3 linked regions of the Caenorhabditis elegans genome follow. The protein of the gene in region 3 interacts with the protein of the main gene of each other region in a biochemical or structural test. Each region holds a gene or a part of one and is shown on either strand. Other genes may lie near its edges.

Evidence for each region. The genes of interacting proteins can lie anywhere in the genome.
Region 1: the proteins of flp-4 (region 3) and frpr-8 interact in a test that uses a peptide from one of them, tested with the Caenorhabditis elegans proteins (one large-scale study listed by BioGRID).
Region 2: the proteins of flp-4 (region 3) and egl-6 interact in a test that uses a peptide from one of them, tested with the Caenorhabditis elegans proteins (one large-scale study listed by BioGRID).

What each region holds. Positions count from the first base shown.
Region 1 is NC_003284.9:8,695,788-8,703,322, forward strand, and holds frpr-8 (G-protein coupled receptors family 1 profile domain-containing protein), read left to right. Parts: upstream 1-2,029; coding exon 2,030-2,253; intron 2,254-3,131; coding exon 3,132-3,234; intron 3,235-3,521; coding exon 3,522-3,743; intron 3,744-4,747; coding exon 4,748-4,989; intron 4,990-5,321; coding exon 5,322-5,465; intron 5,466-5,958; coding exon 5,959-6,081; intron 6,082-6,129; coding exon 6,130-6,214; intron 6,215-6,369; coding exon 6,370-6,405; intron 6,406-6,909; coding exon 6,910-7,035; downstream 7,036-7,535.
Region 2 is NC_003284.9:5,930,674-5,935,032, reverse strand, and holds egl-6 (G-protein coupled receptors family 1 profile domain-containing protein), read right to left. Parts: upstream 2,448-4,359; 5' UTR 2,266-2,447; coding exon 2,087-2,265; intron 2,035-2,086; coding exon 1,921-2,034; intron 1,874-1,920; coding exon 1,797-1,873; intron 1,746-1,796; coding exon 1,579-1,745; intron 1,528-1,578; coding exon 1,192-1,527; intron 1,090-1,191; coding exon 867-1,089; intron 758-866; coding exon 666-757; 3' UTR 501-665; downstream 1-500.
Region 3 is NC_003280.10:10,047,102-10,054,876, forward strand, and holds the start of flp-4 (FMRF-Like Peptide), read left to right. Parts: upstream 1-1,766; 5' UTR 1,767-1,950; intron 1,951-7,523; 5' UTR 7,524-7,537; coding exon 7,538-7,687; intron 7,688-7,738; coding exon 7,739-7,775.

The DNA.
Region 1 (7,535 bases), on a different chromosome or scaffold from region 3:
CTAATCAAGCTTACTATCAGATTGATAGTATTGTATTTTACTTCAACTTACCGCAACAAAAAAACCGGATTGTCCGTCATCTATGCTCATTTCCCTAATTTCTCAGATAGTCCATAGATTTTTGCCCATATCCTTTACGTTATTCCTTTCATTTTGTGAACCATGACCGACGCGGTTCGATGACGATCTTTCGCGTGAGATACTGACTCCATGTTTGAGGGTTTCGTAGCTGAAAATGCTCTCAGTCTTCCCGAGACAACGTTTGCTCTCATTCATGATTCATTCGATATGTGAACTTTTTTCTACTTCCACTTTTAGTATTTATTCGTTTTAAATAAGTATGAAATGAATAATCCACCTCTTGCTTTTTTTGCAGTTCCTATAAGTTCACGAATGTATTTTTCATATCCATTTCCTTCATTTTCAATTTAATTCGATAATTATCGTTATAGTTTTTAAGACTATTTTTCCGTACACAACTTTGCACATAATGACTATCTGAGTCAAGCTCACTTTTCCGCTAAAATGAATACGCAAGAATATCAAGAGCTCACTTTTAGAACTTCGATATTTTTGTTTTTCTTAGAGTGAATACATCTTCCAAAAATACATCGAATGTTTTTTCCAAGAAAATGCTCGTTTGAACAACGAGTGTAAAAATATGTCCTTGAGCTATGAATTATGAAATATGTGAATGGTCAACTAGAGCTTGCCAAAAAATATGAATTTTTTCTTCAAAGTCTTCAATTTAAAGTATATATTTTATCCGGAAATTACAATGACATCATGTTAATTTTCTTTTTTTTTAAACTTTTTTTCATTTTGGTGAGTGAGTATATCTACAATTAGAATGAATAAGTTGATCAAAATCGTTTGAAAAAATTTTATCATTGTATTATTTTACATATAAAAGTTAAAAATACAAAGAATCCAATTTTCAAACTCTTTTTCTAAACAGAAACAAGTCTTTATCGCTCTTTGATTTTGGTTTGGGTACAATATCTCAGTAAAACCATACTTCTTTAACTAATCTTGTATTTTGACAAATCATATTTAAAGTGAGTTTTCGTAAATTATTATTCCCCGTAATTGGAACAGGTTTCAAATATCAAATAACATTTCTTCAATCATCATTGCTTATTCAAAGAACCTCCTTTGTTTTTGTGAAAGCTACGTGATGATACCAGCCGTTCACGACTTTTTGGCTTCCACTTCTCCGCTAACATATTCATTACTGACCATGCAGTCCCCTTTTTCTCAGTAGTTATTCACAAATTCTTGATACTATATATAGTCGAACATCATAAAAATGACTAGTAGTATATTTCAATTCTGCTTCGTCTTTTCATTGATGCCCTACTATTTACCAGAACTCACTTTTTTGAAGCCATTTTGTAAGGCATCAATAAAGTAAGACTAGTTAGTCTTGAAGATCCAACTGTTTTTTTGTTTTGAAAAGAAAGAAAAACTTAAGAAATTAGTGGATGGTTTTGTTCAAAATTTTCGAAAATAAGTGTATTTTCTCCTAGACTTTTTGAAAGTACGAGTAACAAAAACGTATCTTACTGAAATTGTCAACTATGTGTTTTTGTTTTAAATTTTCACTCTTATCTTAGTTTACTTTCTTTTTCTTAACAAACCAAAACTCTGATTTTGAAAAAAAGTTCTCATTTAATTATTCGCTCGAATAAACTAATTACAAGTTCATTTTTGTGTTAGTATGTATACCATAAATTTTACTTCCTACTTTCTCCGAAGTTTCATATATATTCGTTTTGTTTTACAAGTTTTATATTGAAGAATTTAGTCACCTAATACCATTTTCAAGGATGTATGTTAATCGTTAAATTTGAATAGACCCCTACGTCACTGCTTCTTTTTTTCAACTTTTGAACTTTGGTTGCTCCGTCTTCGCTTTTTTGTTTCGTTTCAACCAAAACTCAATTATCTCTTAGTTAGAGCCTTTTTTCTTTCTAAAACCAATTTTTATCGTGTTCCAGTGTGTGCCACACCACTTCGGCCTCTGGCTATGAACTCGACAGTTATTTCGCTTCTTAATAATTCTACACTGGTCACTACGGATCAGCCAGGTTTTTCTGGAAGTACAAAAGGAACATGCAGCTATCCAACTAATTTTGCGGAGGTCGATTACATTAGCACATATATTTACCTGCTTGCCATTCCAACAATTTGCGTGCTGGGAGCCGGCGCTGCGGTAATGTGCATTGTGGTGTTCACTAGGAAACAAATGAGGTTCGTTTTATTGAAGAGTACTTGTGAGAGTATATCTAGAAAGGACTGAATTCGAATTACCTATCCACTTCACTTTTTAAGTTAGAAAATATAAGAGACGCAAAGAAAATCTGTTCCCCGCAACGAAAAGACTTCGAACGTTTTGAGAAAGGACGACGAAGTCACGTGGCTTACGGAAACGTGTACGAGGGAAACTTTTTCATTTTTCTGCGTCTATATCTTCTAACAAACACAGTAACGTGGATAGGTAATATGTTTAATCATTATTTCTAAAAAAATGAATATGTGATGCGTGTATATCTGTACCCCAAATGGTTCACAGGAAAATAATAATTTTTATATGAAAAAAAAACGATAGCAGTTTTTTTTTTCACAAATTATGTTTCTGCCTTTTTTGTCGAATAAAGAAGGAGTCTTGTCCAACAAGTAAATCAAAAATAAAGTTAGGGAAACACCAAATGTTTTTCCCTGATAAAAATACGCTATTTAGTTCTAAAAATAAATATTTATTAGCCTATATATTTATAAAAATTTACCTCACATTAGTCAAAAACGAGCTATAGCTTTAGGCTGCTATTCATTTCAAAAAATGATCAAAAACTATTCAAATAAATCTTTCAATTTGTTCTTGCTGCACAATTCAATTGAAACAGTGATTTCAAATTTTCTTGGCCCTTAATAAACATTTTAATTCATGTACAACTGACGACATTTTTATGATTTTTTTTGATTGTATTAATCTTTTTGAAAAATTAATGACATCAAATTGTTCCCCATTTATTTAGTTTTAATTTTCTTTGGTAGTCTGTTCAAATACTCATTTCAAGAAAAAAGAGCAAATAAGGATACATAGAAATACAAAATATTTTTAACTTCAGATCATCACTCAACGTATATCTTGCCGGATTATCGGTTTTCGATCTTATCCTGCTTTCATTCAGTGCTCTGATCTTTTCACCTCTCCAAGGTTGCGTTTTGCAGGTGAGCGTAGATAACTGGTTGATATTCAGTGGAATTTGTAATGAGATGAAGAAATGTCCATCAATTTATTCATCGATAAGCTCATAGCACGGAAAGAGAAATGAAAAAAGTTATTTATGATATTGAAGAGGGATTTAATATTTCTCAAAACTTCGAGTTTCATCAAGGTCTGAAATAATTTTCTAATGTCTTAGAAACTGCGTATAATTTATGTTTCCAGAAATATGAATGTTTCAGAACACCACTAAAAACAACTATGTTAGCAATAATTCAAATAAACTATTCAGGGTCACGGGGACACCGCGGTTTGTCATTTCTTCTGGAGATCAACTCCTTGGACGTTACCCATATCAAATATCGCACAATGTGGTAGTGTCTGGACATGTGTTGCAGTGACGGTGGATCGATTTCTTGCTGTTAACTATCCGCTTCATAGCAAAATTTGGTGCACACCGCGCCGAGCAACAACAATACTTATTGCGATTACGGTTTTTAGCATATTGTTCAAAGTAAGTACAAGAATTGTCAATTTTTTATTTTGTATTTCGAAATACACACAACGTTTTAAAGTTTCGTATCCTGACTATTATGGTCTAAAGTAATGTTTTTATAATATATCAAATTTGCATATTACGGAAGTCTGTTGCTACGATAATTGTAGTTTAAAGGTTTTTTAAAATAAAATTTCTTGTGAAAACAAACATCAATGCTATTAGAGTTTGTGACCCCAGTTTTAAAATCATTCAAGCATTCAGAATATTAAACATGTCAGCACACTGTTCATTGATAATAAGTTGATCACTGTGTGAAAATGTTCAATTTTATTTTAGAATTTTTAAAATATACATTTGCGTGTGTATATCAAAACACAAGAGCTACTGACTTTGATTTCTAAGACACCGGGGAAAACATGAAAGTTGAAAAAAAATTAATTCGTAATTTACATTATCACAAAATTAAAAATTCTGTGGAGGAAAAGCAGATGAGCTTGAAATTCCAGTATTTATAATATTTAATATTAACTCGAAAATCGCTGTTTTTTATAAATTATTTTCCATCAGATTGTAATTTTACAAATTGAAAAAAAGTACACTCAAAAACACTAGAAAACTTACAATACGCTTTTTAGGTTCCCCTAGTTTCAATGAATAACTTAGAGATTTTTCAATATTTAGCAGTGCTGTGCGGCCCTTGAAAAAAGTCGGCTCTCGGCGCAAGCCGCACAGCACTGATATTTAGCTCAAAATTTAATTTAAAAAAAATGAGTTAGGTACAATTATACAAAATCCCTACCTTTTTTCATCTTGTTTTAATTTTACGGCCAACTTGAACCACGCAAAACTTTTAGGTTGTGAATACAACATTGGTAGTTTCTTTTTTTGTGTTATTTTCTGATTCAAAAGACTATATGGATTGTTATTCTAAATGTTCTAAATTAATGTACTACTTTGCAAACTGAGGAACATCGTAATAAGTTTAGTAGGCGACTATCCGTGATACAAGTCATCTTCAGGCACCAATGTTCTTCGAGTTGACCAACGATGACTGTGGTCGACTGAGAACCTCATTTCTGCGGGATAATAAGTACTACAAAGAGTACTACGTAACATTTGGGTACCTCATCGCGCTGTTATTGATTCCATGGACAGTAATGATTATACTGAATGTGTTTGTGGTAAAGGCTGTACACAAGGCGTATAAGATTCGGAGGTCTATGCAAGGAGGAAAAAATAATCAAGAAGAAAAAGATCGGAGGTGTGGTTTTATCATTTTTATTTTTAATTATTTTTTAAACTTTGGTTTCACCAGTTTTTTGATGTTAAGTTCGGTTCTCTAGTTTCTTAAAAATTTTCAAATACATCGATTTACATTTTTTAATGATTATTTATTTTTCTTATTTCAAGCATGGACTGCTAACGTTTATTACAAGAACCGAACCAGCTTTTTTGATTTTTGCATGTTTTTGTTATTTTTTATTATCTGAAAACAACTATCGCTCAGAACTTTTCTCCCTCTTTTTTTTCGATTCGACAAAATTCAAAAACAGTAGAAAACAGTTTGTCTCCCAAGTTCAGAAACAGTCTCAGATGCACTCTTATGGCCATCGCTATGGTGCTCACTTTCTTGATCTTCAACGTAGTAGCAGCAGTGAACAACTTGGCTGAGACGGTGTTCGAAGTGAGCTTAGGATTTTGGAGTCCCATTGGAAATTTGCTAATTTGTTTAAACAGGTAAGAAGTTTTAGTAATTATAACGTGTTAGAAGCTGTGTGCTCGAAAAACTTTAGAATCGGTTTCTACATGAAAGTGGCAGAGAGCACATTAGTATGGAAAAAGAAACTTTTCCGGGTTACTTTTTGGGTTCAATCTGTCTTTTCGAAATGTTTTCCAAATATTGCCATGATTTTAAGATGCTTTGAAACACTGAAAATGACCCTAAGTAATTTCAAAAAAATTTTCAAAGAAGTCTGAATCAAGTTCGGTGAAATAAATCATTCAATCTAAAAGTTTAAAATCCTCAACATCAACGCAAACTTTTGAAAATGAACAAGTAAACATTTTATACCAAACACCACCTTCCAATTTTATATCACAGAGGTTATAAAATTGGAAGTGCATGATGCTGAATCGTTTTTCAAATAGAGTTATTGAATGAAAAATAAATGAACTTAAGCCCTAGTGTGGCAAGGTTTTTGAATTGTATGTATGAACAAATAACCTTTAGCGCTTCCAACATCGTGATCTACTCGTTATTCGGAGCCCGATTTCGTCAAATGTGTGTCCTCATGCTTTGCGGGCGACAAAGTCGATGGATGGAGTGGCTCAAAGTTGGAAGGTACCCACCTCAGTAATTCTATCACTGCATTGTTCAAATTTTCTAAAAATTGTCATTCAGGAGCATGGTCAGTGATTGGGATGGTAGAGATGGTACGACGAGGAAAACTAGTTTGGACGCCAGTACTGCTCTGTTAAGTGCGAGGGTAAGCTTTAAAAAAAGTAAATCGGTACATTCATTATTAATTATTCTTCTTTAATGAACATTCTCGATTAATTGAAAACAATTTCATATTTCTTTACTATGCTTTTGCTTTTTGGTATACTGCTTTGTAAATTGTTTTCAAAAGAACCATTACAGCGAATGACGATTTCGAATTTCATAACCTACCCGGTGGTAAGTTTTGTGTGGAAAATAGAAATAATATTGTCTAGAAACGCATTTAGTTCGTGTGCAGTTTCATTTTCTCCCCGGACTGATTTGCATGTACCTTACCCATTTTCCCCAATATACTTAATCTCCAACCTCTTAGAGTTTTTATTTGATTTATTTTTTGATTTCTTGATAATATTGGTTCTAACATAATTTGTTCTGATTGGAAACTGGGGTTAATGCGTTTTAAATAGAGTAGTTTATAAATTTGAAGCAAATTTTTTTAATATGATAACTGTGGAAAGCGGACAAAATTTTTTAAACAAGTTTCACAGTTTAATTATCTTTCCATCAATAATATTTAAACAATATAGCTGTTTCGTTACTGTTTTGGTAATTTGTTAATTTACCGAAAGTTTGACGTTCATATTTGAAACATCCATTTTTTCTTTAGTAATTAACTATAATACTCAAACATACAGTATGTAAAATAAAGTTTCCATAAAGTTTCAAAAATTTGTGTTTCAGAGTTCTCGCCGATGGAGTAAACGGAGTCAAAGTGGTGCACCACATCAAGCAGCTCCTGCTCGAAAAGATACAGTAATCTACACAAGTGCTCAAAACAGACTTTCGCTTCAAAGCGCACCTTCATAACGGAAAACACGTCAAACCTTTATCATGTTTCTGTATATATCTTTACTGCACATCTTCATGGATTTTGTTAATTTGAGCATTTTTTCGATACCATGTATTATTTGATAAGAACTGCAATATCATTATGAATTGAACGCTTCATTTCTGTTTTGTTTTTTTTTGTTTCGTTTCTAATATTTATTTTTCACCTGCCTGCCATAATCAAAAGTTACTAGTTACAAATTGTCTAGTCTAAAAGTAGTACTGGTCATCTCCCTCCAAAATCATCCCGATTCTTGCGATCTCTTTTGTATTCATTTTCTTGGGTTGCTAACATTTGACCAATTCATTTCAGCTTGGCTAGTTTTACTTAAGTGTCACTAAAAATTGCTCGGAAAATTGTTAATTGAGTCCAAGTTTGATTATTTCAGACTTATATAGTTTTATATTTTCTCCGCAATTTTTGAATTCACGTTTTTGGATGATAATGCTCAAGATTTCATTGTGAAATACAGCAATGG
Region 2 (4,359 bases), on a different chromosome or scaffold from region 3:
GCATTCCGGGATGTAGTAACTCATTGTCTACGTAAGTGACCCCAAAAACTTCTTATCGCTATACGTCTACGTATTAACTTCACTGACAGGAGAATACTTTTGAAGGTGTTCAGAAAATATTATTCTTTCCGTTTAAAAATTCCGCTAAGACTGTCTGTCAAGATATGAACACTTGAGACTTTTTGCAACAAAAAAAAACCAAACGCTTCAAAATACTGCAATTTTTATTGTTTTGATAGATTAAGAAGCGATTCAATTTGTTAGTGTAGCAGATAAATATGCTATTTTTTCTATTTAGAATTTAAAAAAATTAACAAGTATGCTGAAAAATTATATTTAAGGTTTTAGAAAACTTTTAAATTCTAAAGAAAATTGCTTTAAAAAAAGTCAATTAGACAAAATCATTGAACACTTATTTTTTCATAACTTTGATTTTTAACTTTGAAACTTCAGTTTTCCAACTTTTAAAAGCTGTTCAAATAGAGAAAACACACTATATTAGTAAAACAATACAAGTTTTATTCATTCTCGGAAGATTTCAAGATAAACAAGAATCACATTTTCAAACTTGTGACTTTCAAATTTTTCAGACGAATTGAAGTTCACAACGGGATAAATACAAAAATCAAGAATTATAGTTGAATTGAATAACTACGCAAAGGAGATTAAGACCCGACATATGAGCTTGGCGCAGTTCTATTTATCAGAAAAGTTCGTGGGGACTTTGTTTCGTCGTCATGTCGATGATTCCAACTTCCTGAAAAATTGTATTTTGAATTGAACTTTTTAGTCAGAAAAAATTGTGAGTAAAATGTAGTTATCTCAAGTAGATGATTCATCCTACAATTTTGTTTGAAAGTACTCACTTCGAGTTCCTCTTAAACTATTCTTTCTGGTCCATGGGAAGAATAGTGCTCGGAACGTGGAGAGATACTCATTGGACATGGTGCAATAGAGAACGAAGCTAACAGAGCTGTACAACAGCGTCAGCATTTCCATCAGATTTCCCACTGGATCGTAATACCGATTTCCGAACTCTTCACCGTAGATAGCCACGCACAAGTTAAGAATACCCATGGGTAGTTCTACCTGGAATCAGACATACGTTTCATGGTAATCATAGACAAAATAATATAAATAATCGTAACAATACAGCAATCACATACGATCAGACATTAAATAGTGACTAACCATTACACATAGGAGTAGAATGATGACGAGCATTCGTGTTGTGCGCGGTCTGGTCGTCAACTTTCTTTTTGCTTTTCTCTCGGAGTTGGTGCAAATGTTGGCACCTTGTGTACGCTTCCAGTTTTTACGCCTTCGTTCTACGCTTTTCAAAGATCTTATAAGAGCAATGAGTAGTATTGAGAGAATTAACGACGGAAGTAGTTTGAACACAATACCAAATGCCCAGAAAACTGCGGACACGAGAAGTGGACTCTCTTGATAACTGAGGTCGTACAATGGACCTTCCATTTCGCATTGCAAATCATAAGCAACGTGGTCACGAGCGACAATTTTAACCTGAAACATAGATGAAATCAGATTCGAGATATGAAGATTAACTACACAAACCTCGGATATGAAAAACAATGGAAGACTGATGATAGGAATGATGATCCAAATGATAACGTTTGCTGCGATTGCTGGCTGGCATTTATAGATGAATCTATTCGCTTGAATTGGAAACTTCAGTGCACAATACCGAAACACTGCGACAACGATCGTCGTTGTGAATGCAACTGAAAAGTATTTGAGTACAGTAATATGCTTGCCAATCTAAAAATACTTACTTGTATGAAATACTGTATTCAGGTTGACATTGAAGAATCTATATCTTGTAAATGCTTCGGACCATAATAATTGAACACTGCAAAAAACTGGAACATTGTTTTTTTTATTTGATGCATGACGTACCATTGATATCTATAATACTCAAGCAATAAGTAAAGGAAGTAATTGGTCGCTAGGAGCCATTGTGCAATGGAGAGACCTGTGAGCAGGATGTTTATTGGGGTTCGCATCCGTTTTCTGGAATAACAGGTACATTCATCCGTAAAAAATAAAGAAATATATAACTTACCTTGTGAGCACAATAATATTGAAGACGTTTGAAGCGGCTCCGAATATACAGATAGAAATTGAAAGAGGAATATGAATTTCATCGTAGTACTGCAAAAAGGACTTGTCAGTTATGGCTCGCGACGAGACATTTGTTGCATTTTCACGACCCGACAATCCGAGTTCCGTCCATTTCCCCATTTTTTCACTCTTTCACGTTTCGGAACGAGCCCGAATAGGGAAGCAAATATGGGAAAGCAAAAAAGATTCCGGTTCAAAATGCTGGAAAAGCTTCAAACGTCCATTCACAACCGGATTATCCCAGCGACAATCTCTAACAACGAGATAGCAGGAAAAATTGGACGACAAAATAAATATTCGTTCCAGTCAAAACGGAGTGGGAGGGAAAGGGGAAATCTAGTGAAATCAGTGTTGGAAGTTCCGCCCACTGTGTAGCGCGTGCCCCTGTCTATCAGCTAATTATTTTTCAAGTTGTGTGCATCGCGTGTCCCCCCAAATGACACCATACTGATTCACTGGTGCCCAGTCAGAAACACATAGATGAGTCTCTGAAAGACTAACTCGCAGTGTGAGGCCGTAAAACGGGTTTACGATCGGCTCCCAATAGAGTCTCGTACGCAACTAACACCCAAAGTACACGTGCAGAATTGCAGAATTATTTAGGTCATTTGAGGAATGGGACACTACTCCGAAAATGGGGAAAATGTTTGAAACTGTTCATATGCCGCTACATTAGGTCCTGATAGGTTTTGTTCCCCCAAAATGTTTTAATTTTCTAAAATTAAATTTTCCACCTTTCAAATTAAAAACAAAAACAAAAGTACGGAACAAAGCATTCGTTTCTCCAAATCGTTCCAAAAAAGTTCACGTTTTTGTGGTTAATTGTAACTTAGAAAATTAAAACATTTTGAGGGTAACAAAACCCATGAGTACCCTACAATAAATCATAATAGCAAACTTTTCGAGTCCAATTTGACAAAATTTTCCAAAATTTACATTCGGAGTTGCTTGAAATTTCTCAAACAGTCCAAACTTTTAGAAAACTTGACAATTTACCAAAACTTTGATTGAAATTTTTTGAAAAATCGGAGCATTTTTGAAGTGTTGCACGATTATATTTGACTATTATGAATGTGATTAAATAATATTCCCACTGATGATACTCCAACTTTGATAGTTTCACATAAGTGTTTAAACCAAGTGAAAATTATATTTTCGATGTAAATTTGTCTAGACAGTGACTTTTGTCCTATTATACAATTTGAAATTTCAAGGGTTCAAACTTTTGAGGTTGCTTAAAAAAAACGTCCATGCTTTTTGATAACTTGGTAATTCACCACAACTTTTACTGAATATTTTGAAAAATCTAAGAATGTTTGGAGTGTTTCACAATGATATTTGTTCATGTCAGACTATCATGATTGTAAATTCAAACCCCCCCCCCTCTTCACTGATGTTACTTTACTATTAATAGTGTTTATAAGTGCTTTAAAAACGTTCAATGTTCTTGAATATTCAAAATAGAATGTTGCTTCAACACATCTAATCTCATATCTTGAGACATTTTGCTCTCCGATTAGTGATAACAATTAATTTTTCCTAAACTGTTCTTTGGCAAATATCAAAATTGAAACAATGATCCTATGGCTTCTATCACAAATTTGCAATTTTTCCAAATTTCCAACGCGTCATCAAAACCACCTCCCGAGATTTTAATGCTTTGAACTCACCATGGCAAACATGTGGATATAGCATTCGAAGTATGTACAGATCAGTGTGTCATTCATTGCTGAAAAGCTGTCATTGTGTTCTATGATGTTCTCCATCTGCAACAAAAGACCTGTGTTGTTTTCAAAGTTATGCAGGGAGAAGAACAAGAAAACGTGAGGAAACGGAGGTGAAGGCAACAGAAAAAAGATCAGGAAAAACCTTTTGACGTTATATAAATTATTAAATCATGAGCATTATATAAAGATTTCTGGAGTATAGAAAGTTCCATACCTTAAATGAGTTCAAAATTCAAGAACAGTACGTAGAAATGATTAATGTCTAGTCTCGGGAACTTATATTCCCCTGGCACGGTCTACCGTCATATAAGGTTTTCGCAGTACATTCTGACAAATTTATTGTTGCAGAAAGAAAAAAAGAAAATTGAAAAAGACACGAACGCAGCTTGAGATAAATAATTTTCGAATCCGGTACACCGTCATTCTCCTACAAAATGAAGGAAGGTTGACTGAATAATTAAATTAATGTTTTCTTTCATGCTATTTT
Region 3 (7,775 bases):
TCCTTTTCCCAAAATTTTCATACTTCCTGCCACGAAATGATGTAGCTATATATATGAAGTTTGGGTTTCCCTATAAATAAAATAGAAATATAGTGAAAACATAGTGGCAAATGATATTGAATATGCTATAGACTTGGTAGAACACATTGAGTAGTTTGATGACTCGGACGTGAATAAGTAATTTGAAAAAAATAGCTTCCGCTGACTAAGCCCCTTTTAGAATTGCACAGCATTCTTTCAGATTTTCAATAATTTAATAATTTAAAATGACGATTTCGTCTTGTTTTGCACTACTTGTAGTATTTATAGTGCTTCCCAAATATCTTGAAATGTGTAATTGAAAGCCTGCGGGTTTAATAGAAAATTAAGCAGCATTTTTCTTTTTTTGTAGATGCTTTTCAATTTTTTTGGATTTTGTGGAGATGTTATGTTCTTTAATATTTATTCAAAAAAGGAGACAACTGGTAAAGTTAAATTTTTGCATCAAAACTTTTCCGAATAGATCTGTGGTCTTTTTTGGTAAATTGCCGAGTTTTGGAAAATTATAAAATTACCAAAGTTATTAGAAAAATAGTCCAATACGAACAATTTTTTTGATTTTTCATGCCCCAATCCGGAGCCCACACAAATACTTTTGAACTACATAACCATTTCCTCAATTTCCCCACGTACAAGTGGTTGCAAATTGTGCATTTCCTTCTCCTCCGAGCAGAAGATTGTTTGGATGAGTTGTCTGGATTATTTTTGGATCAGGAGCAATTTTCTGTTTATTAAAGAAAAGCGCAGAAAATAACACGAAAAAAAAGGCTTGATTTCTTGGTTCTTATTTTGTGCATGTTTTAGCGAAATTGCAAAATGTTGACCGATCTGATTTTCATAATTAGGAAAATGTTAAGACTTACTTATCTTTAGTGATTTCCCGAGACCTACGGATTCGGATTTTATTTTTGCAAAAAAGGAAAGTAAAATGAATAATTTCAATAATTCATTTAACTGTCTTTAAAAAATTTGAGCACTTGTTCCAATATTAAAAGTGTTCTATCATTTGCGGGGTTCCCAAAAAATCCTGCTATTGTTTTTTGTGGGATTTAAACTTTTTCAGCTCTTCAAATCAATAGGCTATTGGTGCATATATTGTCTTCTGACGTTTTTTTTCAGTTTCTATATAAAATTTTTGTACTTCCTTCTAATTTGACAGAATAATTCTAAAATCACATATTTGAACTGTGGGCGCTGAATTTTTTTGAAGAGCATGAATTTGAACCCGCAGCGACGGGTCTTTATTTTACAATACAGACGTTTTCCAAAGTTTCCCGGTTTTCCCCGAATATTCCAAAAGTTTCTAGAGTTTCTAGAAGGTTCTCAACCTTTCCTAAATTTTCTAAAATAAATTCGAAAGCCAACATCTACGCAAGATAATTTTTCAGTCGAACTACGGTAGTTTTCAATCAACTTTATCTAAAAATAGCCGAAAACCCCCATTACCTCCTAGTTTGGTATTCCAAAAGATCAAACTTATTGGGGTAGTTGGACCCCCATCCATCTTTTGGCACGTTTCATTCCCGAAGTTCCGTCATAAATTCGATGTCCCCCTCCACCTAATCATTGATTCGTCATGCCTTGTCAGACAAAACCCACGTCTTCAGCTTTTTGGTCGTACCACAATTTTTTCTCCAATGATTCCATCATCATTCCTCATTCCCCAGCTCGTAAAGAACTCAATAAAACTGTCCTCTTCTTCCTCAACCCATTCCTACTTATTCTACATATATTCCAACTTCCAGTGTCCATTCCATTCTCCTTTTTTGTGCTGTCTCCTTATTCTGTTTCCTTTTTTCCCCTATTCAACATCATTCCAGTCACATTCATTTGATTGCGCACTAGGCTCCGCCTGCTCACGCCTTTCTTCGCAAATTCATATTTGGATCTCAATATTTCCGCAAAAAATTGGTAGGTTTTTTTTCGCTTTGACATCAATAGATCTAGTTGACGTGAAAAGCAAACTGGCAAAAATGTTCTTTGAAATTCATGAAATTTGACAAAAAGTTTTGGTCTAACAGCAGTATCTTGAGGCCACAATGGAGCATAACCAGAAAACGTGGTGTATCTGACTGTTTTTTTTTCTGGAAAATCTTCAATTTTTTCGAGGAACTTCTTGAAGATTGTTGTTGTTTGGTTTAGTCTACGTGACCATTTGTAGCTGCCATAGTTATTTTCATTTTTCGTTTCAGAAATCGGAAATTGGTTTTGCTTGAAAACTAGCGAAAAGTGGGCGTCAAACGATTATTACTAAACACATATTGTTGATTAACTTCTAGAGTTTTTATTGGAGTATTTGACGTTAGCCATTGCAACGTCATTCATACAAGTATTTATATAAGACAATGTACATTTTTTCGTTCATAATTTTCTTGAGGTATGTCTAGTGTCTAGTGTATCAAATTTCTAGATATGTATTGTGGATCTAAATTTAGGGTATCTCCAAAGAGTTATACAAGGTTGTTTTCCAAATTAGCACCTCTAAATAATCGAACCTACATGATTTGAAATTGCTTTAAAAAAATTTTTTGTTTGAAAATTTACCAGTTTTTCAAAACATTTACTAAACATTTATTCAATACAGTAATGCATTTCAAAGCTTTTTATGACTTGAAAAAGCTATAGAGTACATAAATCTAAGCCCAAAAAAAAAACCGCAGACTTGTTTTTTATAAATTTAAAAAATCTTGAATTCAAAACACGTGTTCAATTTTGGCTTCTTACATGTATTGTTTTTAATAAATGTTCCGATGAAATCTGCAAGCCGATTTACTAGACTTACAAGAATAATTTCTGACTATTCATTGTTAATCTATAATCTTCTTATCATGTTACATATTATCTAGTTAGTCATTTTCTTGTCTTGTTCTGTTTTCAATTTCACTCATTTGCTCTCATATTTCTTTTTCCTGAATTGAACCTTGGACGCTCAAAAGCTAATCGAAGAAAAATTGCCGAGATTCGGGAATTTTGATTGATGTTGTCGAATTAGTTGTTGCTTGTTCGAAAGTGACAACATCAGACAAAAACACACACGGATTTTGAATTATTACCTATCCATGTTCCTTTGATTTTCTATTAAATTGTCCTTTAAGGTTTCAAAAATGTTCGGAAAACGTAGGTGTAACCTGAAGAGTTAGGAGGAACGTCTATTTATGGTCCATCCAAAAATAGTTGTTGTTATTCAATTTGCGGCACCGAATCTTCAGATATTCGAAAGTTAAGAAAAACAAGAAGTTAGCTTTTAGGACTGAAAGACAGCTTCCTGCAAAAATGTTCTTCTTTTTATGGAAACTTGAGAGCCAAGTTCAAAAGATGAAAAGTTAAGTGGGCGTCTTATTTGTGTGGGCAAAAGAAACTGTAAATACATTTTTAGATTTAGTATATATGCAGGACTACTTTTCTTTCTTGTTATAGTTCTTGTATAGCATCGTCGTATGCACGCACGTCTTCAGGAGTATGTTTTGTATTCATGTTTTTACAACTTTGGCAGTAGTCATGACATATTTCCAAGGAACGTAGGTTACCTTGAAGGCAGGCAGAATATTTTCAGCATAACATGGAAGATTTAAGTTGTTGTTGAATTACGTAGACAACAAAATAACATTTTGAGAGTTCTTTCTTTGCTAATTGTATTTACGTCTCCTATAAAAATTGAGCATAGAATAAGATCATTCGTTCAGATTTTCATGCTTCTTGGATCGACTTATAAGTGTACCTTTATATTACGGGCTACAGTAAAATTTCCTTCTTTTTAATTCAAAATCTTCATTCAAACATCTAGCTGCTACACAACAGGGGTGTGAATCAAGGGCTCGAAAACTGGAAATGCCTGATAAATATTTTGCAAATTTTAATATTCCGATTTGGAAGTCGCGTAGTAAAATGGTTTTCAAGGAGCTTCGAGGTCTTCAAATGTTCTTTTTTTTTAGAATTTCAAGCTTTCACGCACTTGATTTACACTCCTGCTCCCTGACTCCATGACTGTTTGATGAGCTCTTTTGAACTTTAGTGGTTTCTGGCTTCTTCAATAGTCCAGACGTAATAAAAAGTGTCCTTCTTTAGAAAATTAAAAGTTGGAATACTTTCCTTAAAACTATGGGAGAAACTTCTCTTACTCTGAGAATTAAGAAACTGTTTATCACTATTTAAAATTCCAGTTGAAGCATCGTGATCACAAAACTCAGAGCTTTACCACAAATCCAGAAAACAGAAAAGAGTTCTTGAAAATTATAAAATCTTTACGTGGGAATCTGAATACGTAGAGAGCTCTGGAAATTTACTTCCAGATAGGAATTTCTATCATTACACCGGGAAAAATATATCAAAGAACCACCATATTTTTTTATAAAACTCTTCAAAATGTAGTACGTGACTGTAGCCCAACTACTCAATTAATTCCAATTGCGTCATTTTTCCAAAAAGGCATTTCTCAAAATTTTCTCAGGATTTTCCTTTTCAATCCATCATATTTTCCAATTATTCTCAGATCAAACCACGCACCATGACAATTTTTCCACATTTTCCAATCCAATTTTTAATCAAACTGATTCTGATAACTCATATCACACCTAATAAAGTAATTCTACACCACGAGTTTGTACGCACAAATCTACAAATTGTGACCAATATCCAGTGAATTTCTTAGTATTTTTGCATGCATTTTTAAGCACCTCCAACTGTTCTTCACATTTCTTATTATTCCGTTCTTTTTCTTTTTTCTCTGCTGGGACACATTTTCAGCGCCGTGTGACGTCATATAATTCATTGAAATTTTAGAGTTTCAATGTGGTATTAGAATTAAATGTATTTTTGCTGTACAAAGAATATTCATTTTCAAAATACTTATTAGGTTTCATTATGCCACACTACCTGACTGATCATCTGTTACAGTTACCTATGTGATGAGTTTTCGTGATAGAAAATCCGGAAAAAGACACGGATGTGATTTTTGACTATGCTTAATCCTGAGAGACATCCATTATCGCAAACAATAGAACCTAAAAGAAAAATTAGAGTTTAAGATAAATGTTAAGGTTATTCAAAAAATAGACTTTTGATCTTATTTGAAATGGCATGCGGAAGAAACTATGAATGAACGAAGTTTATGACAAAGATCTGAATCCTACGCAGTACGATAATTTTCCTGAACGAAAAACAGTAGAAAGCTTTCAAATGAAGAACATCCAAGCACATACTGTTCGCGTTATTTTACTTTGAAATGATCTCTAAAGGCCCCCAAAATGCTTACCTGCGTGCCTCTTGGACATTTTGTGATAGTTTCGATGATATGTATTTTTGTGCCTATGAATAGGCTAGGTGATAGATTTCCTTGTTTTAAGACAAACACTTCCAGCAAGCTTTTGAAACTAGACTAAACTTATCACAATTCTAATTTTATTCCTAAGATCGCATTGTCAATTCACTTTCCGAAGATCATCTCGTCCATTAAAAGATTATTCTTTTTCACAGTGTAACCTAAACCTTGATTCATTAAAACATGAAAATGTAAGCAATAGATTAATATTAATCCTAATCTTAGACTAAAGTCTGATATGTGTCGTAATAATACCCCTTTGGTATTTAGTTAAGGTTTTTTGAACTGAAGGTTTAAGTATAAATACCTAAGAAATCCACTCTTACAACATTAGTTTCAGCTTTTGAATTTGGCAAAGTGGTGAGTTCAACTTTTGACTCTGTCTTATTCATTAGAAGTTTTATTCTCCATTTTGAAAATCTATCAGCTTCTGAAATCTTATCAAAATCACTGAATTCCAGCAATTATGGAGATCAATTGACAATCTACATACATGAATAGGTAGGCATTTTTTGCCTACACTCAACAAAGTTTATGACCACGTTCGAGACAGTAAATAGGTGATTTACTAATTGAAGTTAACCCGTCACTACCGTAACCCTAGAGACCAATAGATATAGACACAAACTAAAAACCAAAGGATTATATTTCATTGAAAACCAAAACGTCTGTAATAATTTCTTTAGACACATAAAAGAAGCTCGACTAAAAAATATTAGTTATTTTAGAAGCTTAAGTCTATAATTAATCCCTTCCGAGGAGGTTAATGTGAGTTTGAAGTTTTAATAAGGATCTTTTATAAATTCGTATTGTTTACAAACTTATAATTTTTGATCCATCGGATAACAGAACATGGATTCAACGCATAATATCTGAAATTGACAAGTTTGAAAAATTTGGCTGGCTCTAAAGATTTAGTTCTGGTGTTTTTTCCAGCTATCCTTTAAGCTTCAGAAATTTGTTTGGAGAACCATTGATTTTTGTTTAAATTTCATAGAACTACTTCTAACGGACCACCAGCATAATTTTGAACCCTTGACGTCAGACCACACCCACATTTCCTTCTTTTCCAACAGAAATTATGCAAAATTTGAAAGTTCAAGAGACTTCACCACTCAAATGCTCATATCGGGTGTCCAATCAGCTCGTATAATGTTCAGAATAGTTCTCATGTTTCATTACTTATTATAAAAAAGGTCTTTCGGTCTTTCACTTCTTACGTGGGGGCTCAATGTCTTCCAGGAATCGGGCGCACCGGTCTTGATGTTCTCCGAGATATTTCTTTGCATTATTGATACGTTTTTTTAAATTTTCTTTCTTCTCTCTTTGACGTGCGTTTTTGTGTCATTGGATATTTAAATAAAATATTACGATTAGCCAATAAATAGTATTTACCGTATTTTTAATTAGTCCCAGGGTGAACAGTATAAGAGAATAATTGAAAACTTTTTAATCAACTCAATGATAATTTAGAATAATCCCGATCAATTTTCAATCTCCAACCTTTTCCGAAAACTATTCCACACGCCTCATTGCAGATGTTTTTTTTTGAGAATTGAACCAAAATGTCTAGATAACAAAAATCAGCTTGCACAGGAAATATTTAGCACGTCAAAGTTTTCAAAAATTACGTCAAAATGTTGAAGATGCGTCAGTTGAGAAACATTGGTGATTGAGTTTTTGAATAAAAGGCTTGAAGTTTGTGAAAACGGATGTGCGTTTTTGTTTTTTAGGAAACCTATCACTTTTAGACACCAGTGAAATGTTATTTCCTCTATTTTTGGAGAATTATTGAAGTACAATTGTTTCATGGTATTTTCCAACTGAACGTCAATTTTTTTTTAAACAGGTAAACCAGAAATGCCAAAAAAGCAACCAAAAAAAGTGTTCGAATTTCGTTTTCAGGCGAAACAAAAATTAAAAAATTTTGAGCTGGGTGCGGCCAAACTTTGGGCAATCCCGGTTTATTCACCCTTTGTTTAAGTTAATATTGATAAATTACTTGTCCTCTAATTTTTTAATCCAACCATTATCAACGTCACACTGACTCCACCCCTTTATCAATTGTTCTCCGTTTCTTTTAAAAGCACCTGCTCAACCTTTTCGTCGCATAATTTTCCGCTTCAAGCTCCCCCTTCCCCTTCTTCATTATTTCTGCAATTTTCAGACAACTACAGCGACATGAACGCCTTCTCCTCTTCCCTTAAAACATTCATCTTCTCCTTGCTTTTTGCCACGTTGCTTGCACTCACAGCAGCTCATCCACCGTCATCTGGTGAAGAAATTGCTGAGCAAGAAGAGAAGAATATTGCAAGTCCAGATGAACTTATTGTAAGATTTTTAAAAATTGAGAAAAGTTATAAAAATAAATGAATGTTTCAGCCGGAAATTGTCGAGCAGCAAAACTTCTGGCCACCAG